Macaca fascicularis: one gene and its partners. The protein of the gene in region 1 interacts with the protein of each later gene in a pairwise test. Links are inferred from orthologs where the notes say so. Each region holds a gene or a part of one and is shown in the gene's direction. Other genes may lie near its edges.

Region 1 (3,500 bases):
TATTCACGTGAGACCTTATGATTGTACTGAGCTAGTCTTTCATTTTGCCTGTAGCTTATCCCTGAAACATCTCTATTTTCAGAAACAATAAGAGATGTTGTTGGTAGATGTACAGCAGGGTATATGTACATGAGGATATGTATTTTTCAGTTTCTCATTCCCTTACAACTAGCTCACCGTAAAAGTTTCCTCTCTGGTCTTCCTACATTCAATGCCTTTTCTCTCTCCTCTAACCTACATATTGTTGCCAAATGAATTTTTCTTTCCTCACCATCATTTACATGTTCAAGGATCTTCATTGGCTCTGATTTAGAAGATCTTGCACAGGACTAAAACATGTATATTTTGGCAAAAGCTCCTCCAGATAATCCTGATGTGTAGTGATGGCTAAGAAGTGCTGAAGTATGTAAAATATACCTCAATTTTTTGAAGAACACTCTAAATGGTGAAGGGTATGGAATTTAGTATCAGATGGACATGGGCTCAATTACATTTCTGACTCTTACTGGTTGTGTGATCTTGGACAAATTACTTAGCATTTCAATGTGTCAACTTTCTCATTTGCAAAATTGAAATAACATCTACTACATAGGGTTATGGTAAAGAGTAAATTAGATAATGTGTGTAAAGTGAATGTAGAGAGCATTGTATATACTAAGCACTCGATAAATGTTAGCAGTTATTTTGTTGTTAGTCATTCAATTGTTCATTCAACAATTATTTTTTCACTATGTGTCAAATGCTGTGTTAGGGCCATGGAAGATATTAAGAGGTACAAAATATGAACCCTGCTCTTGAGACTCTTAGAATTAGTTGGGAAGATAACACTATCATAGCACTATACAATCGGAGGATAATAAAGTGAAATATAAATGCTATAAAAGATCACATAGGTCAGGTGCAGTGGCTCATGCCTGTAATTCCAGCACTTTGGGAGGCCAAAATGGGTGGATCACTTGAGGTCAGGAGTTTGAGACCAGCCTGGCCAACATGGCAAAATCCCGTCTCTACTAAAAATACAAAAATTAGCTGGACGTGGTGGTGGGCGCCAGCTAGGGAGGCTGAGATATGAGAATCGCTTGAATCTGGAAGGGGGTCGGAGAGGCAGAGATTGCAGTAAGCTGAGATGGTGCCACTGCACTGCAACCTGGGTGACACAGCAAGACTCCATCTCAAAAAAAAAAAAATCACATAAATGATATATTTAGGGAAGGTGTTAACCTAGCATGCTGACTTGCTGACTAGCATAAACAAAAAAGAAAAATCTCCAACTGTTTTTACCAAGTCTTTAAAGGTCTAGTTTTGATGCTGCCTGCCAGATGGAAAATGATGCAGAGGGGAAAAAATTCTGTATTTACTTCTCAGAATTAAGACTGGATGGGGGAGTGTGTTTGAGGGGTGAACATATGTGAATAAATATGGTATAACTCTTAATTGGTTCCTGATGATTAAAATTTAAATGGTTCCCATTGGAAAGGCACAGATATGATATTTTCACTAAATAAATCAAGGCTTACAAGTCATTTATTTTCACCTTGTTAAATCAGAAATCAAAAACTGGGTGAAGGTTGCAACCTATTTTGATGTATATTGATGTACTTTTCTCTTTTTCAGGGTCGCTATGGCAACTGCATCTTCTCAAGTTCTGATTCCAGACATCAATTTTAATGATGCCTTTGAAAACTTTGCTTTAGATTTTTCCAGAGAAAAGAAACTGCTAGAGGGGTTAGATTATTTAACAGGTGTGAAAATACTGTGCTTTCCTTCCCATTTAATTTTTTTTCTTCTGGTATGCTTTTACTTAAAAATAATTTGAAAAAGACAATATTTATAATTTACATATTTTATAATCTTTAAAATGATGCATGTATCTTTTCAGACAGAATATATTTTAGTTCATGTAACAGAAAAAAAGATGATTTATGATTTGTTAACTATTTCTAGGATCAAAATGGGTATACCATCTATACTTAAGAGTAAAACACAAGAAATTTGCTGATAGATTTGTCCTTATGAATCTAACAGTAATGTATTGTTGCTTGTTATGAGAGTAGAACTCAGGTGACAATTAGGGAATGTCAGAGAATGCCTTATGTGGGTACAAGTACTACCAAAATGGTTTTAAGGAAAATTAGGAGTTAGTAGATCAGGAAGAAAAATGTAAGAAATATCTGGCTCTCAGACAATTTTAGAAAATGAGGGACACAACCAGCCTGTTGAAAATGCTGGCTACTTTCAGGATTGTTTAATGATCATTTCATGAAAAAAAATACACAAACTATTTTTGCAGCTGTTTTGTTACTACATTAAATACCTGCCCCTTATTGAACATCTACTTTATTCTAGACACTGTATATTAATTTTATATCTTTAATCCTTACAACAAATCTATAAGTTAATTATCACCCCTATTTTGTAGATGAGGGAACTCATCATTTTGCACTTGACTATACAGCTAAAAATATGTAATGGGGCCGGGCACGGTGGCTCACGCCTGTAATCCCAGCACTTTGGGAGGCCGAGGTGGGTGGATCACCTGAAGTCAGGAGTTCGAGACCAGCCTGGCCAACATGGCGAAACCCTGCCTCTACTAAAAATACAAAAATTAGCCAGGCATGGTGGTGGGCACCTGTAATCATCACTTGAACCCAGGAGGCGGAGGTTGCAGTGAGTCGAGATCGTGCCACTGCATTCCAGCCTGGGCAACAAGAGCAAAAATCCATTTAAATATATATATATATACTCATTTTGAAATAAAAAAATTAAGTTGAAGACCATATGTTAAGAAAACCATATAATCACTTTAACGTCTACATAAGTGTTTATGCAGGCAGACTAGACAGCTGGGGCAATCATCACAAAAATTTAGGCTTATATTTTTGTTGTAGAAAAGTTTAGGCTTATATTATGTTGTAGAAAAGTGGTTTTAAGGAGCTTGAGGTCCTAGCATTTTGCTTCAGGTTGCATGGTTCATGCAATTTAAAGATTCTCTATTAAGAAAATCTTCTCTTCAAGAGATGTTGGGTTAGGCAGGAAGAGTAACAATTGTAAAATTCCAGAAGAGAGAGTATGCTTTCCTTACTTTCTTTTCCACCTTTCCTTACAGCCCCAAACCCACCATCTATCCGAGAAGAACTCTGTACTGCCTCCCATGACACCATTACAGTCCACTGGATCTCGGATGATGAGTTCAGCATCAGCTCCTATGAGCTTCAGTACACCATATTCACTGGCCAGGCTAACTTCATCAGTAAGTCATGGTGTAGTTGGGGCCTGTGGCCAGAGATAAGGAAATGTAAGGAAGCAGTAAGCTGCTCAAGATTGGCCGGGGCGCCACGAGGCAAGTGTTTGTAAGACATGTTAGGTTGTTCAGTATAGTGTTTCATAGACAGTGTAAGCTCCCCAGAGCATTGCAAAGACCTTACTGATGGGTAACAAGCAAGTTGTATATTTCCTTGCTGGGCAGTTACTGGGGCCATTCTCATTCATTTATGGAACCC
Region 2 (4,285 bases), on another chromosome or scaffold:
TCTCTCTAGGTCTCAGGTTTCTTATGTATAAGATAAGTAGGAGATTGGGGCCACAAACCTGAGACTAAAGGAATTCTAAGTTTTCATTACTCTGTGTATTCCACCTTTGCTAGCTTGGGACCTAGCAGGTCTCAGCAGCTGGTCATGTAGCTAATTTCCAAAGCAGATAAATGCCTGCAGGATAACTGTGAATCGACTCTAATCACAGCAGAGTCCACTGCTTCAATAGATGCTGGTGCCTTTGGCTGCTTCCCGGAGCCACCAGCCAACCCAGAGATGAAGCTGGCTGAAAAAGCGGACGAGTATGTTGGAGAGGCCAGCATCATCTCTAAACACAGCATCTGGGAAATACCCATGTCCCCGGAAAGAGGTCATTGAAATCCTTCACTTAGTGGTGCAGTGCAGAGACTCAGGCAAACCAGGCTTTGAGTCCTGACCCTGCCACTTATACCAGCAGTATGACCTTGGGCAAGTTGTCTGGCCCTATGTCATCTTCCTCCTCCATACAATGAGGGTAGCAATTGAGTCACCTTGCAGGAGTGTAGTAAGGATTAAGGTCCCAGGAGGCCTAACAGTACCTACTAAGCAGAGGTCCTCAGAGGTACATAGTAAATGGTAGTAGTAGTTATTATCCTGTGCCCTTTGTTCACAGGAGTCTCTCATAGGGGCCGTGGGCTCAGTGCTCCTCCCCATGGCCAGGCTGTATTGGCTCATGCCCAAGGTGTAGCCTTGCCAGGGAGCCTGGTACAGAGATGCTGGTGATTGAGATGCTGATTAAATTCCCTGATTGAGAAGCCTCAGCATTCTGGCCCAGAGCAGCAGGGCCAACAACATTTAGCACAATCTGCTTGGATCCTCAATTAAATTGTTTTCCCAAACTGCCCTTTTCAAGGTCTTGTCCTCTTTCCTCACCTCTTTCTGGCCCCTTCTCTCTGGGTCCTTGCCAGAGAAGGGAAACAAAGCTTTGTGGGGCTCCATCTGCTTCCCCCTATCCAGAGAGAAGGTGACAGAGGCTGTCTTCCTTGCAGAAGATGCGGTTAAAACAAGCCTTGGCCATTCAAGGTGGCTGCAGTCTCATCCTGGAGGCTAAAGTCTCTGCGCATTCCAGGTTGATCCCTGTTTTCTTGGCAAAGCTGAGCTCTCAACTCAAACCTGCTTCTCCCTCCATCCTTTATCCCGCTAGCTTGCAAGTGTTTTGCTGGGAAGGACGATTAAGTGGCACTTAGAGTATTTTTCCATTTTCCTGTGTTCACCTGGTAAAAAAGAAAATAAAACAAAATAAAGGAGGCCCAGGATTGAACTGTCATTATTTTTTAAATGGAGAGAGAAGGGGTCATGTGACTGCGAGTAACCGATTTAGCCAAGTGGCTGCAACTCCGAGTTTGCTGCAGAGCCGCCCCCTCCCGGCGGGGGCGCTGACGTCACGGAAAAGCCCCGCGGCGGGTCGGCTGGGCTAGTTATAAACCGCCCGGCCGCGGCGGCTGTAGGCGGCGGGCACGGACGGCGGGCACAGCGCAGCACTACCCGCTCCTTGGCCCGGGTATCCCAGCGCAGACCCACGCGATACGCTGACGCCCCGACGCCGATCCGGCCGAGCCAAGTAAGGGGGGCGGCCCGGGACGGAGAAGGGAGAGAGTGGGAGTTTCCCAGCCCGCAGAACTTTCGAAGTTGAGAAAAGAACCCCTGAAACGTGCGTTCTGTGCTGGGATTTTCTGGTGGGGGTCAGAGCTTCAAGTGCAAAGGATGTCGCTTCTCATCAGCAGGTTCCTTAGTTCAATTCGGTAGGACAGTCACCTCCTCCTACAGATCGAGTGGTCAGAGAGGGCAGCCCTTAATGATGCTTTATGTATTTGTTGTTTGAATGTAAGTCTGCCAACTGAGGTGCTGCTTTTGAGACTAAAAAACCAGCTGGTGGTCCTGGTTAGTGGCGAGGTGTTGGGGTATGGAGTGTGGGGGTGAGGGTGGGAAAGCACTGTTTGTGCATCTTGCTGATTGCAATGTGCCTACTTACACTTCGTCGCCAGTAGCCAGAAAAACAGACCTTCCGGCTAGGGGAGGCAGTCTGCAAAGGGAAAGTTGTAGCGAAGTTGTTGAATATCATTTAGGGTAGTCTTCAGCCTTCTGATTTGCTTCAAGAAGGGGGGCTGAGAATGGTGGCTCAGGCCTGTGGTCTCAGCACTTTGGGAAGCCGAGGCAGGAGGATCACTTGACCCCAGGAGTTGGAGACCAGCCTGGGCAACATTGTGAGACCACCGTCTCTACCAAAAAATAAAAATAAAAAAACTAGTGGGCGTGGTGGTGCAGGTCTGTAGTCCCAGCTCCTTGGGAGGCTGAAGTGGAGTTGGAGGCTACAGTGAGCTGTGATCCTGCCACTACACTCCAGCCTGGGTGACAGAGCAAGACTCTGTCTCAAGAAAGGAATCTGAGTTGAATTAAAGAACTCTTGAGAATGGACGTGGTTTGTTAAGAATGAGGCACTTTCTGTGCAAATTTGCTAGGTCTGAACATGAGCAGATCATTTCTCTGCCAGGGTGTCTAGGTTTGGAGCTGAGATGCTTTAAAAGTGGCATCTGTGGATAAGAGGGCACAGCTGAGGCATAAACTTTAAGCAGAAAATTTCCCCTCTACCCCCAATAATGGCAGGTGGATGCTCTCCAGGCAGCTGGAGAGCATCAAAGCAACTTTACTAAACATGGAAGTTCCAATAAGTGCCTGTCCAGTCCAGCCAGGGTTGCGGTGGGGAGGGGTGGGGGTGATGTCATTGCCACGTGTTTCCCACTGAGGCACAAAACCTGCTGGACACTGGTGCAATTAAGAGCCAAGTTTAGACAAGAGCAGCTAACCTGACCAGTTGGTCCCCAGCAACATTAACTTGTTGCTTTTCAAGTCATCTCTGGAGGCTGCTGGTTCTTTCCAGCTGCCTTTGTGCCAGCTCCGAGTGCAGCTCTTCTTTGATCCAGGTCTGCTTTGAGGAAGGGGTAAGCCCATGGGCAGTGGTTGATGTTAACAGTATTATTTTTTCCATGCAAATGACAGTCTGCCTGAGGAGCTGGTTACTGACAGTGTGGGCAGTGTGTGTGTATGTGTGTGTGTGTCCAGTTGAAAGCCTGTCTTGTTGGGCTTTGGAGACTGTTTAATTGGTGTTTTTTATGTTAGGGATACTTGCTTCTCATCTCATCTAATATAATATTACTGATGACTGACCATGTATTTGAGCAGAGCTCTCACTCATGCTTACTAATGCTGCCATCTTGGCTGCTTTGCTCCCCAGGACCCAACGATGACTCTGAATGTCACCATGCGCCAGGGCACTGTGGGCATGCAGCCGCAGCAGCAGCGCTGGAGCATCCCAGCCGATGGCAGGCATCTGATGGTCCAGAAAGAGCCCCACCAGTACAGCCACCGAAACCGCCATTCTGCTGCCCCTGAGGACCACTGCCGCCGAAGCTGGTCCTCTGACTCCACAGACTCAGTCATCTCCTCTGAGTCAGGGAACACCTACTACCGAGTGGTGCTCATAGGGGAGCAGGGGGTGGGCAAGTCCACTCTGGCCAACATCTTTGCAGGTGTGCATGACAGCATGGACAGCGACTGCGAGGTGCTGGGAGGTAGGTGTCCCAGCCCCAGTGGGCTTCTTTCCATCAGGCGTGGCCCAGGAAGAAAGAGCGAAGGTGGGTGGCTTATTTACCTGCAGAGTTGGGAGCTAAGGTTTATGCATTTTGGACAATTGATGGGGGAGCTGAGTCTCCAGAAAAGCCCAAGCACAGGCTCTCAGGGCAATAAAATGAAAAAGCTTGTAGACAGGACCAAAATCTATTGAACCTGGGCCAGAAAGGGAATTTTTCAGATTTCAATTCTAAATGGGTGGGGGAAGGCTGATTAGAGAGGGCATAGCCAGAGGGTCAGCGCCCCACCTCTGACTTCTGCTGACTCTGACTTGAACATTCTTCCCGGAATTCAGTATAGGCACAGCCTTTTTCCATGGTTATACCTAAAACAAGCCAGTTGGAAAAGCTGTTAGGATGGCTTGATCAGTTTGCTTCTACCAATATTAGAAACTTTTGTGGGTGTAAAATAGTTCAAAATCTGTATTTGAAATAGTATAATAATTTTTTAAAATGTGAAGTATAACAATGATAATTTGTATAGAGTCTGACAGCTTTTCAAGACAATTTTCCCTGTACAATTTTATTTCATCTATTTATTGATTGGAACCTGGCCTATTTCCAAAACTGTTTTGAGGTGACATTATCTCAAAATGCATGTATTCTTCAGCTAGGGGTAA
Region 3 (3,998 bases), on another chromosome or scaffold:
CGTGGGGCTACTGCTGCTCTTCAGCTGGGTGACCCTTGTCCAGTCAACCTCTCTCTCAGGTACAGCACTTACCCCTGTGGCCCACCTGCCTATCGTGCTATGGGCTATTCCTGGGAACTGGAACTGATGGGGATGAATGGAAGGGCGCCTGCTCTTCCGGTAGGGGCTGATCTCTTTTACTCTCCAGTAGGGGTGGAGTGGGCTGTGGAAAGATCCCTCCTGCTTATTTCTAGCCCCCCAACCTCTCTCTTCAGCTGTGGTCCACCACCCTCACTTGTGCCAGACCACCCGGGATGTCAATGGCCACCACTACCCTGGTTTCTTTTGCCCTCGTCTCTCTGATTCTCCAGAGGAAGCCTACTGCTGCCACCTGCAGGCTGCAGGGGGCTCCTGCTGCACCCGGGCTGAATTTGAGGCCCTGTACCAAGTCAACCTGTCCGCTCTTCCGCCCCCGCCCATCCTCAGGTGAGATCTCCAACCCCGGAGCCACTGGAACATCGTCAGGGTGTTCCAATATCTGGGGCTCTGTTCCTAAATTATGGGGTGGGAGGCTTGTAACTTACAGACTAGTGAAGGGACAGACCGCAACAGAAAATCATGTAGATCATGATTACAATTACAAGGGAGAAGTTCAGGGGGCTGTGCAAGCGGGTAATAGGGAGCCATACTGAATCTGCCCATGGGTGGCTCTAGGATGAGCTCCTAAATTCGTATGCAAATGTGTGTATGTAAGACTACACTTATTTGGGGATGGAGTCCCGAGCTTTCTCCGGACTCCCAGGGGTTCTGTACTCCCACAGAGCGCAGCAGCCAGAGCGCGGCCAGGGCCGGGATCCAGATACTTTTTTCTCTCCCGCAGGGGCCCAGGACAACTCCTAGTGCTGGGCCTCTACAGCCTACTGGTTGTGACCCTGATGACCGCAGACCTTGTGCACTTCTGCTGCGATCGGGGCCGGGGTCGGGGCTGGAGCCACCGCAGGCCTCCCTCCGGGTCCTCCGCCGTGAACTCCTGCAGGTCTCCGCGGGGACAGCTTAGGCGCGCCCGGAGCTTGCCTGCACCTGCGATCCAGAGTCGAGTGCCCCGCCCCTGCCCGGGCGCGCTAACTCTTTAGCCCTGCCCCTCTCTGACTCCACCTCCGACGCAAGAGTGGGGCGGGGCAGCTCCCGGCAGCGTCCGGAGCCAGACTCGTCCCGCCCCAGAGACTGCGCCTGCGCGGGCACGGGACAACCTCTCCGCGATGACTGTGAGTGGTCCAGGGACCCCCGAGCCCCGGCCGGCCACCTCCGGGGTGCGTACCCAATCCCCGCGCCATCACCCCTTCGCACCCGCCCTGACCATCCCAGGCCTCCTTCTCCCCATCCATGAGGCTCGTGCCTATCCCTCCTCTTCTCCAGGGCTCTGCCCCGAACCCCCTCCGACGTTTCCGCCCCCTTTCTCTCTACAGGCCAGCTCAGTGGAGCAGCTGCGGAAAGAGGGCAACGAGCTGTTCAAATGTGGAGACTACGAGGGCGCCCTGGGGGCCTACACTCAGGCCCTGGGTCTGGACGCGACGCCCCAGGACCAGGCCATTCTGCACCGGAACCGGGCCGCCTGCCACCTCAAGCTGGTGAGGGAGCCTGGCGCTCTTCCCCTTGCCTGCCGGGCCCCGGTTCGCCCATCTCAGCTGATGCTTGGGCCCCAGCTGGGAATTCAAGCTCCCAGGCCATCCCCGCTTGCCAGATGTCTTTTGCACCTCAGCGTGAAGGGGGATCGGGTGACCTTGGACAGCGAGAGTACCCCTGCTGCCTGGTTAGTGCCCCGAAAGGGAGATGACCATTCTTTCAGGCTGCTGTCTTTCTCTTACAGGAAGATTACGACAAAGCAGAAACAGAGGCATCCAAAGGTAGGGGAATGGTGGACCCTCGTGTGGAGCTGTAGGGCTTCTGTGGTGGGCAAGGACTCTGGGACCGCTGCACCATCACATTCTCCTCCTTTGGCCCCAGAGACACATCTGCCTTCTTTCTTTCCCACTGCCTCGGGCCTTTCCTTTTCTGCAGCTACCCTCACCTTTTCTGAGGCTGAAGCACCGAGCCCCACATTCGTCCCCCTACCTTCTGGCCTTTCCTCGAGATCTTTCCCTACTGCTCTTGCCTGGAGATGGTGGCCTCATGGGTGCTGACAGCGCTCCTGTTTGTGCTCAGCCATTGAAAAGGATGGTGGGGATGTCAAAGCACTCTACCGGCGGAGCCAAGCCCTAGAGAAGCTGGGCCGCCTCGACCAGGCTGTCCTTGACCTGCAGAGATGTGTGAGTTTGGAGCCCAAGAACAAAGTTTTCCAGGAGGCCTTGCGGAACATCGGGGGCCAGATTCAGGAGAAGGTATGTGAGTGACCCAGAGAGGTGGAAGCTTGACTGGTGGTGGTGAAGGGATCTGGGCCAGGGGTGCAGACACAGTTCTCCAGACAAGAGATACTGATGGCAAGTGAACATATAGAATTCTGGTTAACCTTGCCTGTGGCCAGGGAAAAGCAAATTAAGATGACAGCGTGTTACTGTTGATTTGGAGGTCTGTTTGGCAGACATTTAAAAGTTTGTATACTTTTCAAGAAGGAGAGAGGCAGACACATCAGTGGTGAGGCTGGTACAGCTCTTTTGGAGAGTACTTTAGCATATCAAATTTGAAATGAGCGTATCTTTTGATCCCATATGTTTACTTCTTGCTGTTTCTCTCACAGAAACCTTGCCCACATGCACAAGTAGACATGTGTATGTTTATTTCAGCCTTTTTTGTAGTAAAAGCTTGGAACTTGCCTCAATGCCCAGCCATAGAGGAATGGCTGAATAAATTGGGTAATGTCCTTACTAGAGACTCTTACATAGTTACTGAGAATGGGTAGATACACACATATTGAAATGGAAAGCTCTGGGACACTTGTTGAATAAACAAAGCAAAATAGGCAGGGCATGCTGTCTCATGCCTGTAATCCCAGTGCTTTGGGAGGCCAAGACGGGACGATCACTTGAGGCTAGGAGTTTGACACCAGCCTGGGCAGCATAGTGAGACCCTGTTGCTACCAAAACTTAAAAAGTTAGCTGGGTGTGTTGGCACACCCTTGTAGTCCCAGCTACTTGTGAGGCTGAGGCAGGAGAATCCTTTGAGCCCTGGATTTTGCAGTTACAGTGAGCTATGATTGTGTCACTGCACTCCAGCCTGGATGACAGAGTGAGGCCCTGTCTCTTTTGAAAAAGAAAAGAAGAAAAATATATGATAACACATATAGTATTATATCATTTATGTTAATGATCCCCTGCATAGCAAAATAATGCTATATTTTTTCTGTGGGTACACTTGGGTATATAAATACAAAGGAAAATATTTAATTTAATTTATTTATGTATTTATTTATTTATTTTTTGAAACAGAGTCTTGCTGTGTTGCCCAGGCTGGAGTGCAGTGGCGTGATCTCAGCTCACTGCAACCTCTGCCTCCCAGGTTCAAGCAATTCTCCTGCCTCAGCCCCCCAAGTAGCTGGGACTGGGACTACAGGGGCGTGCCACCACGCCCAGCTAAGTTTTTGTACTTTTAATAGAGACAAGGTTTCACTGTGTTGGCCAGGATGGTCTGGAGCCCCTGACCTCGTGATCTGCCCACCTCGGCCTCCCAAAGTGCTGGGATTACAGGTGTGAGCCACTGCACCCAGCTGAAAATATTTTATTTTTAAAATTTATTTTTATTTTTATTTTTTTGTTTATGTATTTTGAGACAGGGTCTCACTCTGTCACCCATGCTGGAGTACAACCTCTGCCTCCCAGGCTCAAGCGATCCTCCCACCTCAGCCTCCCAAGTAGCTGGGACAATGCGTGTCACCACGCTCGCCTAATTTTTATATTTTTGGTAGAGACAGGGTTTTACTGTGTTGCCCAGGTAGCTGGTCTTGAGCTCCTGGGCTCAAGGGATCTACCCACCTCAGCCTCCCAACTTGCTGGGATTATAGGTGTGAGCCATGGCACCGGGCCAAA
Region 4 (4,249 bases), on another chromosome or scaffold:
CCATCTCACTTCATTCTCTCCTTCAGCCATGACAATAGTTTTTCCTTTGCGGTCTTCAGTTACCTTTCAGCATGTCCCCAAAAATCACTCTGTGTTTTTAAAATGAAAAATGTAAAAATAAAATCAGAGAAATCAAATCGTCATGAAAACACACATATGGGTAACATTTGGAACCACTGGTGTCTTCAGCCGATCTACAAGCTAGATCACCCTCTCACCCTCTCCTTGTACACTAAAGGGCAGTCTTCCTTCTGGAAAACAAAGTTGGAAAGTTGCAACCTTGCAGCTCTGGCTTTGGTGGACGGAGAATTTCGGGGAAGCGTTCTCCTCCGTCTCGCGGGGTCAGCGGATATCCTCACGTTGTGGAGCTGTCAAATCCGTGCTCTGCCCCAAAAGGCTGGTAACAGTTGAACGCCCTCCAGCCATTCGGGGCTTTTTTGTCTGTGCAGCCACCGGGTTCTCTCGAGCTTTCCCACCCCGCCCCTCCTCCGACACCAGTCCCCGCCCTCCGCAGCTCCTCCCAGCGCCTCAGCAGCCGGCCGGGCGCCGGCAGGGAAGGCTCGCCGAACCCTGGCCCACTGGCCGCAGCGGCCGGAGGCTTTGGCGCTGCTGGAGGGCGGCAGTCTCGGGCAGCCGCTGTCTCGGCGGGCGGCGACGAAAAAAAGCGTCCCCAGCCCCGCCAATTCCGGACCCCCGGGAAGACGCTACTTCTCCGATCCCTGCACCCTCGCCCACCACCGCCGAGCCAGAGGGCATAGGGCGGCCCTGGCAATCCTCGAGCGCAGGGCTGGGCCGCGGAGCTGGCGGGGCGGCGGGGCCCAAGGCGCAAAGCCCGCCCTTCGCCCAGCCCCATCGGTGGGGATCAGCCCAGAGGGCGGGAGCAGGGAGGGGAGACGGGGTCCTCACCCCCAGCCCCTCCCCTTTCTCCGCCCGGCACAAACCGGGAGCCACCCCGGCCCCAGCGCCTTCTTCCCCGCCCAGGCAGACGCGACCCGCCGAGGCAAAGCCATTGGAAAAAGCCCCGCCCTCTGGCAGGCTACCTCCGGACCCCCAGTGCGCCGCGCGCGGCTGCCAACCGCTGCCGGCTGCTACGCATGCGTGACTTAGAACAGGGCACAAGCGCCTCCGGAGGCTCTAAGCTTGCGCCCTGGGGCGGTTTCCGTTCCCGGATGTTTGGAGTGTGTCCTGGAGAAGGGGAAGGAAAAAGTAAGGCGTAGAAGTACACTGAGACTTCGTCACACACAAAACAAGCACGACAAAGAAAAAGGGCACGAAGGGACTCCTGGACGAAATTGAGTCTACATTTAAGATCACCGTAAAAGTAGTGACGGCCTCTTTATTACTCCAAACCCCAGATTTAAGTCGGTGGGACGTCTTCGCGTTGACTTGTGGGGAATGTAGTTTTGATGCTGCCGGCGCGTTTTGTTTGCGACAGAAACTACAATCCCCAGAGGCCACTGCGACGTCGCCTGTGGCTGCCCGCGAACCAACGGTTAGCGGTGGCAGGGGCTGACTGAGAGTGTCTGCTTGGTAAGCACTGTAGGCTGGGTTGTCACCTTTCCTTGACAGGGTTTTTCCTTCCTCCATTTCCTCTGGGATTTTGGAGACGAAGCCATCTAGCGTGGCCTCCCTTAGTCCAAGGATTTTTCCAGTGGCTTGCGTGGGAAGGACTAGTCCAGCTGCCCAAGCGCGGGGTGTGGTGGGTGAGGCGAGGATTTAGGGATCCTGATCCCGAGGGTCGCAGGGAGCGGCCTAAGAAGGAAGGATGCTGTGGAAACTGGAGCTTCGGGCTGCTGCTTCTGCTTCCACCCTTTTCTGTGGGCAGGCGCGGGATGGATTTGGGATCTCTGCGCATTTGCACCTTTGTTTGCCTTTGCTTAGGGATGTGCTGGGCTTTATTTGCTTTTAGAAAGTCATTATTTGAGAAAAGTCGAGGTTTGAACGGCCATCAGTGGACTGATAATCGGTGTAGATTTTAATTCTTTATGTTGCAGAATTGCATTACATTAAATTCTAAAACTTTCATCTTGCTAGGCACTGAATATACAACAATGAGAAAGACAGTCTTATCCAGTTAAGAGGAACCAGTTGTTAGACATACAGTTACAATACTATATGATATCACTGGGATGCCTAGAAGGAGATCACTTAGCCCAGTCTTGGAAAGCCAGGGAAATCTTCATCCCAGCGGAAATGAAGATCAAAAGAACAGCATATGCTAAGGCCCAGAGCGAGAGATAGGGTACTTTCAGGAAACGTCAGTAAGCCAAATCATACATACTTGGCGGTGTGGGGTGGGAAGGGAAGGGTGCTTTTTGTGTATTGATGTACTTTGAAGCTACAAAGAGACACATATTGTGAATTCTTTACATTGTTTCTGTAAGTGAGCTATTTTTGAATAGATGCATAGTTCTGATGAATTGGTCGAATTTCAAAAGCCTGTTACATTCTAACACTTCTAGTTTGAATCCGAATTTTGAAAAGGGAATAACTTATGAATGTGATTGAGAAAACAAAACAAAACCATTCCGTTTTTATCTCCTTTTTGGGATGATCATCCTCTATCCAGCCCATAAAGGGTAGGGTAGTTTCTTAAGGCTGGGTGCCTTTTTATGCTGTAGTTAAATATGATCTCACGTGTACCCATGGCTTCACCAACACTTATGACTCTCAAATGAATAGCTCCATTCAGCTTCACCTCTCAGCTTTCACATATCTATCTCTTGGATATTTCTTCTTGGATATCTCAAAAGCATCTCAAACTCAACATTCCTAAAATCAAATACATAGTTATCTGTTACAAATCTGATTCTTTTTCAGTGTTCCTTATTTCAGCAAAGGACACTACCATCCATCTACTTGTGAAAATTTGAAAGCCAAACATTATTCTTTATTTCTTCTTGCCCTTCATACTTTTATGGCTAAATTATTACCAAGTTCTGCCAATCTTATCTCCCAAAATATCCTTCAAATATATTTTTCTCTCCACCTGTCTTCAAACTGTGGTAATCTCTCAAGACCACTACAGTAGCAGTTATTCACAATGACCCTCCTCCATTAGTTCTCCATTATAGCTACCAGAATGATTTTTTTGAAACTGCAGATCTGATCAGATTTTCTCTTGGTTAAAACTATTCAGTGGTGTCCTGCTACTGTTAAAATAAAGGCAAAACTCCTTTATAAAGCCTGACATCATCTGGTACTCTTTCAGACTCACTTCATATACTGCTCTCCAGATCAACCATACAGACCATTTTTCACTCATTGGTTCTCATATTCCATTTCACCCACACATTTACTCAACAAATTTCTGTTGAGTCCCTTTTATATAACAGGACATTGAGGATACAGCACTGACCACAATATATAAAAATTCTTACTGTCATAGAGCTTACATTCTACTGAGAAGAGATAGTAAATAAATATGTAAAACATTTAGTAAATGAAATGAAGACAAATGCAGTGGAGAATAAAACAACTGGGAAGGGGAATGGGGAGTGTCAGGATGTGAGGGGCTAGGTTTACTTTTAAATAAAGTGGTTAGAAAAGACCTAATCCAGAAGGGGACAATTGAGGAGATATGAAGTAGGGGAGGGAATAAACCATATAGATGCCTGGGCAAATAGCATTCTAATGAAGAGAGTTAGTGCAAAGGCAGGAGCCTGAGTGCACATTTGAGAAATAGCAAGAAGGCTAGTGTGGCTGGAACACAATGAGTACAAAGAGAATAACATGAGGTCACAGAGAAAGGAAGTAATGGTGGGAGAACATGTACGTGACTGAAAGGACTAACATTTTTAATTGAGTTGGGAAAGCATTGGAGAGTTTTGTGCAGATGAGGGCATGATCTGACTTTTTTAAAATGACTACTTTTCTTTCTCTCTCTCTCTCTTTCTTTTTCTCTCTCTCTTCGATGGAGTTTTGCTCTTGTTGCCCAGGCTGGAGTGCAATGGCACAATCTTGGCTCACTGCAACCTCCACCTCCCAAGTTTAAGCAATTCTTCATCCTTGGCCTCCCAAGTAGCTGGGATTACAGGCATGCACCACCATACCTGGCTAATTTTGTATTTTTAGTAGAGACAGGGTTTCACCATGTTGGTCAGGCTGGTCTCGAATTCCTGACCTCAAGTGATCCACCCACCTCAGCCTTGCAAAGTGCTGGATTACAGACATGAGCCACCGTGCCTGGCCTCTTTCTTTTTGCCTGAGGCAGAGTCTCACTGTGTCACCCAGGCTGCAGTGAAGTCAT
Region 5 (3,477 bases), about 65 Mb from region 1:
CCCCCGACCCCCTAGCCTAGGACAGAACCTCAGCCGCCCTTTACATGTCACTACCTGCCACCTTTATACACACAGCTTCCAACCCTGGGCCCATTTGGAGATGTGAAAGTGAAGGCTCAGAAAGGGGTGGGGTAGGGAGGGCACTGCACGCCTTCTGCCTGATTTTTCTGACCCTATTCCCATGACCCTCGCCTCTCACCTCAGACCTGAAGGCCTTCATTCTCGTCAGTGGTCCGGCAGCCAGGACTCCCAGATGGGCTTCCCCCGGGCGGACCCTGCCTCCGATCGCGCCTCCCTCTTCGTAGCTCGCACCCGCCGCAGCAACAGCTCTGAGGCCCTGCTGGTGGACCGGGCTGCTGGTGGGGGAGCTGGCTCCCCGCCCACCCCTCTGGCTCCCTCTGCCTCTGGCCCCCCAGTCTGCAAGAGCAGTGAGGTGCTGTATGAGCGCCCCCAACCAACCTCTGCCTTCTCCTCCCGCACAGCAGGCCCCCCAGACCCTCCCCGGGCCGCCCGGCCTAGCTCAGCTGCCCCTGCCTCCCGAGGTGCCCCCCGGCTCCCACCTGTGTGTGGGGACTTCCTCTTGGACTATTCCTTGGACCGGGGTCTGCCCCGCAGTGGTGGTGGAGTAGGCTGGGGGGAGCTGCTGCCTGCCGCTGAGGTCCCAGGACCCCTCTCCCGCCGGGATGGGCTCCTCACCATGCTCCCCGGCCCACCACCTGTGTATGCAGCTGACAGCAACAGCCCCCTCCTCCGCACCAAGGACCCCCACACCCGTGCCACCCGCACCAAGCCCTGTGGCCTGCCCCCAGAGGTTGCCGAGGGTCCTGAGGTGCATCCAAACCCTCTGCTGTGGATGCCCCCACCCAGCCGTATCCCCTCGGCTGGTGAACGAAGTGGCCACAAGAACCTGGCTCTGGAGGGGCTGCGGGACTGGTACATCCGGAACTCGGGACTGGCCGCGGGGCCCCAGCGCCGGCCTGTGCTCCCTTCCGTGGGCCCGCCACACCCACCCTTCCTCCATGCCCGCTGCTATGAGGTGGGCCAGGCGCTGTACGGGGCCCCCAGCCAAGCGCCACTCCCACACTCGAGGAGTTTCACGGCGCCCCCTGTCTCTGGCAGGTATGGGGGGTGCTTTTACTGATGGGTAGGGGTCTCTTAAGGCAGATGGCGAAGATATCCAGGCCAGGGAGTGGCTAGTCATGATAGCTAATGCATTGGACCATAAGGAAACTAGCTGCCGTGATGGCACAGGGTCACTACTGCACATGACCTGCATTAGTCCATGGGGTCCTGGTGGAGGGGATCTTGGGCACTGGTAGCAGCAATTCTTTATCAAGTTATAGGCTGAAGATGAGCCTTGAAGCCAGGGTGCTGGGAGGAAGGGACATCTCATGCCCCTTGCCGTTTTCTTCCTTGTTTCTCCATGCCCTGGAGCCTGAAAGTGCTGTCCTGTGCCTGCCTCCACCTCTTTAACGAGCCTCTTTTCCTTTCTTTTTATGTGTCTTGTCTGTCTTTTCCTCTTCTTGTCTTCCCCGCCCTGTCCTCCGGATTCCTGCTACCCCTTCTAAAGATACTACGCGGACTTCCTGTATCCCCCGGAGCTGAGCGCTCGTTTAAGTGACCTGACGCTAGAGGGGGAGCAGTCCTCCAGTTCTGACACCCAGACCCCGGGGACACTGGTCTGACCCCTTCTGATATGTCCCTTGTTGGCTTGGGCACGATTCCAATCTGGGGAGCACATAGCTGACCTCGCTGGGCCCTGGGGTGTGGTTGCTCTGTCCTGAGTGCAGTGCGCCAACCTAATCTTCCAAGGCCCCTGGCTCCCCATAGGCCCAGGAAGGTGTCTGACACCCTGCTTCTTCTCTCACACTGTGCTGGGGACTGGGGGCCCTCAGCCAGCTTAAAAGAGAGAGGATAATGTCATGGGGACCCCAAGCCCCTTCATCCATTTATGTTTACAGTTGTGACTTAGGTATTCACTGTCTTCCTCCAACACTAGACGTTTTATAAAAGGGAAACTTGATCTCATCTGGTTGGGTTCATTCCTGTTCCCATGCCCAACCGGGTTCCATTCAGTAACCCCCTCCATAAAATGGACCATATCGGGTCTCAGGGCCATTTAGGGCAGCCAGGAGACTCTGGTGTGAACAGAAATCCCTGCCATGCATCGCCAGGGCAGTTGTTGGGGCATTGGGCTCTCTGCCCACGCTTGGAAGGACTGCAGTCTGGGTGGGATGCCTGAAGGAGTCCAACCCCGTCTGTGCCCATGGCCTCTGCCCTGACCACCCCCAGTCAGGAGGCCCCACAGGAGGGGCAAAGGGCAGAGCCATCAGGTGTGCCGTGTCCTGGGATCCTGTGGGGGTTGAACCTGGCATCTACCAGACCTGGCACCGGTAGATGCCAGTAAAATCCTCAGGTGAGGTCTGGCTACAGGCTGCGGGCCACGGGCCGCTCACCACTCACACCTTCCTTGGCTTTCCTTCCATCCACCCCCCCCCCTTTTTTTTTCTTTTCCTCGAGACGGAGTCTTGCTCTGTCGCCAGGCTGGAGTGCAGTGGCACAATCTCAGCTCGCTGCAACCTCCGCCTCCTGGGTTCTCCTGCCTCATCCTCCTGAGTAGCTGGGATTACAGGCACACGCCACCACACCCAGCTAATTTTTGTATTCTTAGTAGAGACAAAGTTTCACCATATTGGCCAGGTTGGTCTTGAACTCTTGACCTCATGATCTGCCCACATTGGCCTCCCAAAGCACTGGGATTACAGCCGTGAACCACTGCACCCAGCCCCCATCCACCACTTTTTAAGCAAACCCACACAAATTGTGTTTTCTATGATACCTGTCTGTGACTTTCGGAGCTGGGGGTTCCCCTACCCCCTTTTCCTGGTGTTAAACTTTTCTTTTTATACCAGTGGATCTGGGCCCAAGACATTATCCACACTGGAAGGGGATTTGTATAATAAATGTGTAAACTGAACCCATGTGTTGCTGCTGCTCTTATCTGCCTCACCTTGAGGGCCCACACCTCTAGTCAAGACCAGATAATATATTTTTACAGGAAAAAAACATACCTTGGGAATAGCCTGTGATAGTGTCATCTGTTTTTTTTTTTTTTTTGAGACGGAGTCTCACGCTGTTGCCCAGGCTGGAGTGCAGTGGCGCGATCTCGGCTCACTGCAAGCTCCGCCTCCTGGGTTCACACCATTCTCCTGCCTCAGCCTCCTGAGTAGCTAGGACTACAGGCGCCCGCCACCGCGCCCGGCTAATTTTTTGTATTTTTAGTAGAGACGGGGTTTCACTGTGGTCTCGATCTCCTGACCTTGTGATCCGCCCGCCTCGGCCTCCCAAAGTGCTGGGATTACAGGCTTGAGCCACCGCGCCTGGCAGTGTCATCTGTTTTGACTTTACTTGCTTTGTGATGTGGGGCAACTTCTTTGCCTGTCTGCACTCAGATTTCTAGCCAACCTCAAACAATAA
Region 6 (3,500 bases), on another chromosome or scaffold:
CTGCACCTCAGTTTCCCCCACCTCAATACTTTAATATTGGATGGACATGGTGGCTCACATCTGTAATCCCAGCACTTTGAGAGGCTAAGGCGGGCAGATTGCCTAAGTCCAGGAGTTGAAGACCAGCCTGGGCAACATGGTAAAACCCCGTCTCTACAAAAAATACAAAAATTAGTCATGTGTGCTGGCATGCCTATAGTCCCAGCTACTCAGGAGGCTGAGGTGGGAGGATCACTTGAGCCTGGGAGGCAGAGGTTGCAGTGAGCCAAGATCGCACCACTGCACTGCAGCCTGGGTGACAGAGCAAGACCCTGCCTCAAAAAAAAAGACTTCAGTATTAATGAAGGCAAACATAATGTACTGTGTGGCTGTGGAAATGCGGTTGATGCTAGTTCATTTTTATGACATTGGTGTTACATTTGGAGATACTGTTTATCAGATTGGCTCGACATCGGAAAATAGTGGAACCTGAAGTGGTAGGAGAGAGTGACTCAGAAGTAGAAGGAGATGCTTGGCGCATGGAACGAGAAGATAGCAGTGAAGAAGAGGAAGAGGAGATTGATGATGAGGTATGATAAAGGAACATGGGAAGTTTTTTTCTGGATATAAGAAAAAGTTGACGCCTGTGCTCATTTGTTGAAGCCTTAAAAACATGAGATCACTGCTTTTGGCAGGACTCTGATCATGTTCCTTGTTTGTTGGGATAGAACTAAAAATAGAATGGTACTAAGTTGTATTTTTTTACATTTGAATTTGTTGGGTTTGATGAGACTAAAACAAAAAGCCATAGGCCATTTGACTGACCGGCTTACATATATGACTTCACAGGAAATAGAACGGCGGCGTGGCATGATGCGTCAGCGAGCACAGGAGAGAAAAAATGAAGAGATGGAAGTCATGGAAGTGGAAGATGAGGGACGTTCTGGAGAGGAGTCAGAATCAGAGTCTGAGTATGAAGAGTACACAGACAGTGAAGATGAGATGGAGCCTCGCCTTAAGCCAGTCTTCATTCGAAAGTAAGTATCTCACGAGCCAGATCTGAATCCACTTAATTACCACTTTCCAGGCGTGGAAACAAAAGTCTGTTTTCTGTTGTGCTATTCTGAAATCTAAGCACTGAGTGAAAGTGCTTTTGCTAGTGCTGTAGCCTTGCCAGACGAGCTGCTGAGGAGTATCTTGGTGTTAGCAGAGAACCTGAGTTTGTTTTCACATCTCTTTTTTTCAGTTATAGAGCATATATCTGTCCAAGGCCTTTTTTTTTTCTTTCTTTCTTTCTGAGACGGAGTGTTGCTCTTGTTGCCCAGGCTGGAGTGCAATGGCGTCATGTCTGCTCACCACAACCTCCAACTCCCGATTTCAAGCGATTCACCTGCCTCAGCCTCCCTAGTAGCTGGGATTACAGGCATGCACCACAACGTCTGGCTAATTTTGTATTTTTAGTATAGAGGGGGTTTCACCATGTTGGTCAGGCTGGTCTCGAACTCCCGACCTCAGGTGATCCGCCCTCCTCAGCCTCCCAAAGTGCTGGGATTACAGGCATGAGCCCCCGCGCCCAGCCAAGGCCATATATTTTTAAACACAAAATTAAACTCAGCAAGCAGATTCCTATTCCTTTCTTGATGGCTAGAAATCCTCCTACTTACAGGCCAGCAGGTTCTTTGCTGTCCAGGCAGTTCTCAAAGATGAACATGATTTTAGTGCTCCAAAGACCTGGGATGATGGCTGGGCACAGTGGCTCATGCCTGTAATTCCAGCACTTTGGGAGGCTGAGGCAGGTGGATCACGAGGTCAGGAGTTCAAGACCAGCCTGGCCAAGATGGTGAAACCCCATCTCTACTAAAAATACAAAGAAATTAACCAGGTGTGGTGGCAGGCGCCTGTAATCCCAGCTACTCGGGAGGCTGAGGCAAAGAATTGCTTGAACCCAGGAGGCAGAGGTTGCAGTGAGCTGAGATCACACCACTGCACAGGAGACAGAGTGAGACTCCATCTCAAAAAAAAAAAAAAAAAGACCTGGGATGACTCAACGTTTTTTGCTCTTTGAAAATAATAGAGCCAAAGAGTTTGGTTTCGTCTCATTTGGATGGGACTAGGTCTAGGGGAACAAAGCACTCCACTCTAAGGACTTTAGGCAATTAACAGGACCTCTGTGATGCAGGAAGGACCGAGTGACAGTTCAAGAACGTGAAGCTGAAGCATTGAAACAGAAGGAGCTGGAGCAGGAAGCAAAACGCCTGGCAGAGGAGAGGCGCAAGTACACACTCAAGGTACTGGGGAGTTGGCCGGGCGCGGTGGCTCAAGCCTGTAATCCCAGCACTTTGGGAGGCTGAGGCGGGTGGATCACGAGGTCAGGAGATCGAGACTATCCTGGCTAACACGGTGAAACCCCGTCTCTACTAAAAATACAAAAAAAAAAACTAGTCGGGCGTGGTGGCGGGCGCCTGTAGTCTCAGCTACTCGGGAGGCTGAGGCGGGAGAATGGCATGAACCCGGGAGGCGGAGCTTGCAGTGAGCCGAGATCACGCCACTGCACTCCAGCCTGGGAGACACAGCGAGACTCCGTCTCAAAAAAAAAAAAAAAAAAAGGTACTGGGGAGTGGTTCCAAGGATTGAGTACAAGAAAATAGTGTAATCAGGTTTGTCTGAGGAGAGTAAGGAAGTCCAAGCCGAATTGTTCTCCCTATCCAGATTGTCGAAGAGGAAACCAAGAAAGAGCTGGAAGAGAACAAGCGATCCTTGGCTGCACTGGATGCACTCAATACTGATGATGAAAATGACGAGGAGGAATATGAGGCATGGAAAGTTCGGGAGCTAAAAAGAATCAAGAGGGACAGAGAAGATCGAGAAGCGTGAGTAAAAAGATGAGCCTAGAGTTAATGCTGCTAGTGGAACAGGTTTCTAGTAGGATAGCTCTGAGACTCATTACCTACTGTGAGTTCCATTCTGGCCATCTTCAGAGTTCTTGCTGCTGGGTGAGTTTCCTATAATTGGAATGTGAGTTTCACTTGTTACAGTGAAATCAGGGAAGAGAAACACACTTTGTCGATGTGTGTCCATAATAGAGTGCCAGCCAGTGCTCCCTTTAGTTTCCTAGTAGACACAAAAATTAGTAACTGTTAGCAGTTATCTCTTACTGTGTACAACCCAACCCACAATTGAGTGACTTGAAAAAACAATTACTTTTCACAATTTTGGAGGTTGGCTGAACAGTTCCTCTACTGATTTCACGTGGGCTCACTTATGTTGTATCCAGCTAGACAGTTGACTGGGCTAGAAACTTAAAAGGGCTTCACTCACATGTCTAGTAGTAGGTGGTGGCTATCAGTTAGGATGCCTCACTTATCCTTCATTGGGTTAGACTGCCTTCCTTACATAGTAGTCTCGGTACCATTCTAAGAGGGCAAGGTCTTCTGACACTTAGGTTCCAGAACTCATACATCAATCCTGCCACATATTGGTCAAAGCAAGTCACAAGGCCGACCTAGCTTTAAGCAGGTGGA
Region 7 (4,216 bases), on another chromosome or scaffold:
AGAATTGTGAAGATATTCAGTTGCTCCTGACTTTATCAATAATCTAACACTTCAACCTAACATTGATATCTATTTTATGCAAAGCATTACACTATGCACTGGGGAATGTATAAGACAAGTTCATTCTCAAACTACAGTCGAGTTGGACAGATAAAACACACGACACACACCAGAAGATAACTATAAATCCAAGGCAGTGTATGTCAAGGGTAAATTCACTTATTCAAATTGGATCTTGAGAAGTGTATCTAACTTGGAAAATGGGTAAGGAGGAGAGAAAAGCAACAGTGAATCAGAACATGAGTTCCCAGTTATGGGACTTGTAATGAATTCCTCGATTAAAATAAAAAATAATGAAAACAAAAGCCAAGGAGGAGAAAGCCCATGTTGGTGACACTAAAATATATCTTTCCAAACAAATGTGGATAAAAGTTAAGTAGAGAAGATGAGAACTTTGAGGTCCCTAACACAAAACAAACAATAAGCAGCAAGCCATTCCAAGTGGCTGACATGACTTTGTTTCAAACTTTATTTATATTTCTGGCTGGTGTGTTTACAGCCAATAGGTCAAACTATCAGTGTAGAGCCCTGAGAAGTTGGGTATTTACGGAGCATCTAATACGCACAGAATTGTGCTCCATACTGCTTAAACTGTTCCCTAAGTGTCCAATTTGGAGAAAACACCCACGCGCAGGGTAACTAGCGAGTGACGCGGAGTGGCTACGAGTCCATGTTATCGCTAACGGATGGGGCGCTTTGAGCTGGGCACAGTCCAAGGTACTGAACCCTTCCCCCAGTTTCGCCTACATCCAGAGGTGTGCACCTTCAAAAAGCAGTGCCTTCAGGTCTCTTCTGGCACTGTCTGGACTCCGTTCCGAGGCAGACGAGGAAGCTGAGAAAACCCTGGCATTGACCCCGTGGACCTGGGCGCCCCGGGAAGGCCAGCGCTGGGTCCAGGCAGGCGGGGCCTGTGCGGTGATCACCCCGGGTCCCGGAAAGTCCCAGCCCTGAGCGCCCTCCTAGACCTGGAGGCCTGGAACAGCCAAGTGGACGTCGGCCCACTTGCTGCGGAAGAGAAAGCCTTTCTCTTCTTTCCTTCCCATTTTCCTACCACCTTCCACCCACTCCGCCTTCGGGGCAAAGGCAGCCAGATCCACCCAGGACACATTCTTTGTCCTTATCTTCTGTGCTCTCCCACAGCAAGCCAGTCGCGGTCCAAGGCCCCAGAGGCTGTGCAGGAGGCCGAGCTGGGTGGCGATCAGTGGCGGGTCCCTGTCCAAAATCCAGCAGAGCCGCCAGGGACGCTCCATACACAGACGGGGCGGCGCGGGTAGGGTGGGGAGACCACAGCGGGAGAGCCAGGAAGTGAAGGAGGACTGACTCCTGTCGCTTCCCGTAGCCGCCCACGGACGCCCCAGCCGGGAACCGGACGGCACCTAGCGGCTGACGGACAACTTGCTCCGTGGAGCGCCTGAAACACCAGTCCTTGGGTGAGTAGCGCGACCCCCGGCCACTGGGACAGTCGCTAGGGGGGTGGCTGCTCTGAGGGCCTCGCCAGTGGAGGATGGCATTCGGATGTCACGGCTCCTAAATCACAATTTGATGGGTGGGACAGTGTCCATTCCACCCCAACCCGCAGGTCCTCACCGCGGCAGAGCCGGGGCTGGGTGGCGGGGACGCTGCCTCTGCAGGCGAGGCTGCTCCGGGGCGTAAGGGGTTATCAGGAGTCGCGGCCTTTCTTGTACATCCCTGGCTGGAGTCAGGCTGTTTGTCCTGGGGTGTCTCCTCGCTGCAAATCCACCGCACCTGTGCTGCTTTCTACCCTGTTCCCTCCTAACCTGAGGCCTAGAGCCACCTTCAAGTGGAGGAATCTGGGGAAGCTTCCGTCCCGGAATTTGTAGTGACATTGCTTTCCCTGCCTCTAACACGCGCTTTAGGATGCCGAGTCATTTGACTGCAGTATTAAACATTACAAAGGGCAAGTCATGTGACTTCCTTTGACCGTACGTGAAACTTAAGTGATGGCTTCTTGTGATGCATACGAAGTGGTCATGCTGGCGGGACCTGTCCCTGGGGATACTTCAGGGGTTGCGTGATTTAATGCAAGCCGATGATTTAAATTGGGTCACTCGCTGGTTATCACACATGTGTATGGCAACTCGGCATCCATTCTTTTTGCTCTTGTTCTTGCTTCCTGTATTGAGTCACGGAGCCAGAGTTTTGAGGTTTTGACTAACGAATTAAGTTAATGACATAGACTGGGGTTATATTTAGGTGGTAAACCAAGAGGGGTACAGTTTTTTTCTTAATAAAGAAAAAGTAATAGATTTGATCGGTGTGTATTGTTGGTGTGCGGTATAATGACAATTGCTGGAAGTAAAATACAGGAAGCTCTAGTTTCGTTTCCCCTTTAGTTCTGCTTAAAGTCATCGAGTTTTTCCTAGAGTTATTAAATGTAGTGTCCATGGGTGCTTTTATCTTAAAAAATGTGGCTAATGCTTTCCAACACTCCCCTGCCCTGTGATTTTTTTTTTTTAAAGCAGCAGAGAAAATTGTATCTTAATAGTATTAAAATTATTGGATTTCCACACCTTGATTTGTTTAAATTGGAGGAAGAAGAGCAATTCTTTTTATTCACAATAATAATAGCTAACATAGCACTTACTCTTTCACTATTTTATTAACTCAATCCTCAGAACAAACCAATGATGTGAATACTGTAATTATTGTCCTTTTATGGAAATGAAAAGTGAAATGAATACCTCTGATAATTGTACAGGACTGTTTGATTAGTAATGGCCATTAATTAATTAGTTTGTTTTTTTGAGATGGAGCCTCGTTCTGTTGCCCAGGCTGGAGTGCAGTGGCACGATCTTGACTCACTTCAACCTCCACCTCCCAGGTTTAAGCAATTCTCCTGTCTCAGCCTCCTGAGTAGCTGGGACTGCAGGTGCATGCCACCACATCTGGCTAATTTTTGTATTTTTAGTAGAGATGGGATTTCACCATATTGTTCAGGCTGGTCTCGAACTCCTGACCTCAGGTGATCCACCCGCCTTGGCCTCCCAAAGTGCTGGGATTACAGGCGTGAGCCACCATGCCTGGCCTATTTTAGTATTTTTAATAATAAATTCCATGTTAGAAATTTTCTACTGATGTATTTTCTAAGTCAGTATTTCCTACACTCACAATCCAAAATTGTTTAGTATATGAGCACACTGGTAAGAATGGGAGGCAGATCTTTGATTGTAATAACATTCTATTATTTGGTAAATATCAGTAACATAATGTATAATTTAAATTTTAAAATAGGATATGAAGAAAAATGCTGCATGCTTACTTTTCTTTTCCTCTGTTTTTACTTTACACAGGGCCAGTGCCTCAGTTTCAATCCAGGTAACCTTTAAATGAAACTGGCCTAAAATCTCAGGTCATACACAGAAGAGACTCCAACAAGAAGCTGGAAAAGGATGATGTTGTCATTAAACAACCTACAGAATATCATCTATAACCCGGTAACTGAGTTCTAGAAAATAACGTTTTACCTATGCCAGGATTGAGAGCAGATCCAATACAATATTAATTATCCATTGGGAGACAGGGCAAAAATAAAAGCCAGCGAACATATTTAAAGCACCTACTATGTAATAGGGATGGTGGTGGGCGCTGACTACAAAACAGCTGTCGTCCTCTAGTGGAGGAAGAAGTCACGATGGCAATATGACGTGATGAAACAGTGTTATAAACAGGGAACGTCTGGGTAGAGTGGAGGGAATGCCAACTTTTGGTAATGGGAGGAGGCTCAGCTAATCATAAATTTTAGTTTTTAAAGGCAAATGGATTTCTTACTCTACAAGTTTTTCATTTTCTTTTTTAATTAGAGCTGTCCATGAGAAGTTAGTGTCTCGATCTTTCCCTCAGCCTTTCAAATACTGCTTGGCACTTGAGCAGGGAAAATGTCAAAAGCCAGTGGGGAGACGGAGAGTGAGAAGTAGTAAAGGGTCTCGTGCAGTTCAGGCTGGTCCTAGAACCCCTGAATGACTGTAATTGCTGGAAATTGCCCTGTAATCCTAAGCAGTAAAGAGCTTGTTTTAGTTTTATGTGGTGGTGAGAATCTTTAGGAATGTCTAGTTTCCACTTATTTGAAGCTGAATCCTGAATTGAGGTCTGGGAAAGGACAGCCACTTTTTTAGTAAACCCCCTAGAAGATTCTTGG

What was found.
Region 2: the proteins of MID2 (region 1) and GEM interact in binary tests that used the Homo sapiens proteins (3 or more experiments, as listed by UniProt). The link is inferred for Macaca fascicularis from reciprocal best matches to the Homo sapiens genes MID2 and GEM.
Region 3: the proteins of MID2 (region 1) and UNC45A interact in binary tests that used the Homo sapiens proteins (3 or more experiments, as listed by UniProt). The two-hybrid records come from large-scale screens. The link is inferred for Macaca fascicularis from reciprocal best matches to the Homo sapiens genes MID2 and UNC45A.
Region 4: the proteins of MID2 (region 1) and CEP57L1 interact in binary tests that used the Homo sapiens proteins (3 or more experiments, as listed by UniProt). The two-hybrid records come from large-scale screens. The link is inferred for Macaca fascicularis from reciprocal best matches to the Homo sapiens genes MID2 and CEP57L1.
Region 5: the proteins of MID2 (region 1) and CCDC120 interact in binary tests that used the Homo sapiens proteins (3 or more experiments, as listed by UniProt). The link is inferred for Macaca fascicularis from reciprocal best matches to the Homo sapiens genes MID2 and CCDC120.
Region 6: the proteins of MID2 (region 1) and MFAP1 interact in binary tests that used the Homo sapiens proteins (3 or more experiments, as listed by UniProt). The two-hybrid records come from large-scale screens. The link is inferred for Macaca fascicularis from reciprocal best matches to the Homo sapiens genes MID2 and MFAP1.
Region 7: the proteins of MID2 (region 1) and LGALS8 interact in binary tests that used the Homo sapiens proteins (3 or more experiments, as listed by UniProt). The two-hybrid records come from large-scale screens. The link is inferred for Macaca fascicularis from reciprocal best matches to the Homo sapiens genes MID2 and LGALS8.

Annotation. Positions count from the first base shown.
Region 1 is NC_088395.1:114,479,273-114,482,772, forward strand, and holds part of MID2 (probable E3 ubiquitin-protein ligase MID2), read left to right. Parts: intron 1-1,614; coding exon 1,615-1,742; intron 1,743-3,106; coding exon 3,107-3,340; intron 3,341-3,500. UniProt on the Homo sapiens protein: E3 ubiquitin ligase that plays a role in microtubule stabilization. Mediates the 'Lys-48'-linked polyubiquitination of LRRK2 to drive its localization to microtubules and its proteasomal degradation in neurons.
Region 2 is NC_088382.1:103,912,500-103,916,784, reverse strand, and holds the start of GEM (GTP-binding protein GEM), read left to right. Parts: upstream 1-1,485; 5' UTR 1,486-1,781; intron 1,782-2,813; exon of another isoform or gene 2,814-2,978; intron 2,979-3,271; 5' UTR 3,272-3,280; coding exon 3,281-3,608; intron 3,609-4,285. UniProt on the Homo sapiens protein: Could be a regulatory protein, possibly participating in receptor-mediated signal transduction at the plasma membrane. Has guanine nucleotide-binding activity but undetectable intrinsic GTPase activity.
Region 3 is NC_088381.1:75,486,933-75,490,930, forward strand, and holds the start of UNC45A (protein unc-45 homolog A), read left to right. Parts: upstream 1-1,198; 5' UTR 1,199-1,238; coding exon 1,239-1,289; intron 1,290-1,445; coding exon 1,446-1,607; intron 1,608-1,846; coding exon 1,847-1,883; intron 1,884-2,181; coding exon 2,182-2,357; intron 2,358-3,998.
Region 4 is NC_088378.1:13,195,345-13,199,593, forward strand, and holds the start of CEP57L1 (centrosomal protein CEP57L1), read left to right. Parts: upstream 1-1,449; 5' UTR 1,450-1,530; intron 1,531-4,249. Other genes in the region: SESN1 (sestrin-1), read right to left, coding at 1-30. UniProt on the Homo sapiens protein: Centrosomal protein which may be required for microtubule attachment to centrosomes.
Region 5 is NC_088395.1:49,227,565-49,231,041, forward strand, and holds the end of CCDC120 (coiled-coil domain-containing protein 120), read left to right. Parts: intron 1-204; coding exon 205-1,119; intron 1,120-1,570; coding exon 1,571-1,685; 3' UTR 1,686-2,977; downstream 2,978-3,477. UniProt on the Homo sapiens protein: Centriolar protein required for centriole subdistal appendage assembly and microtubule anchoring in interphase cells. Together with CCDC68, cooperate with subdistal appendage components ODF2, NIN and CEP170 for hierarchical subdistal appendage assembly.
Region 6 is NC_088381.1:20,398,085-20,401,584, reverse strand, and holds part of MFAP1 (microfibrillar-associated protein 1), read left to right. Parts: intron 1-439; coding exon 440-569; intron 570-828; coding exon 829-1,016; intron 1,017-2,158; coding exon 2,159-2,267; intron 2,268-2,688; coding exon 2,689-2,849; intron 2,850-3,500. UniProt on the Homo sapiens protein: Involved in pre-mRNA splicing as a component of the spliceosome.
Region 7 is NC_088375.1:12,615,941-12,620,156, reverse strand, and holds the start of LGALS8 (galectin-8), read left to right. Parts: upstream 1-1,416; 5' UTR 1,417-1,490; intron 1,491-3,371; 5' UTR 3,372-3,470; coding exon 3,471-3,515; intron 3,516-4,216.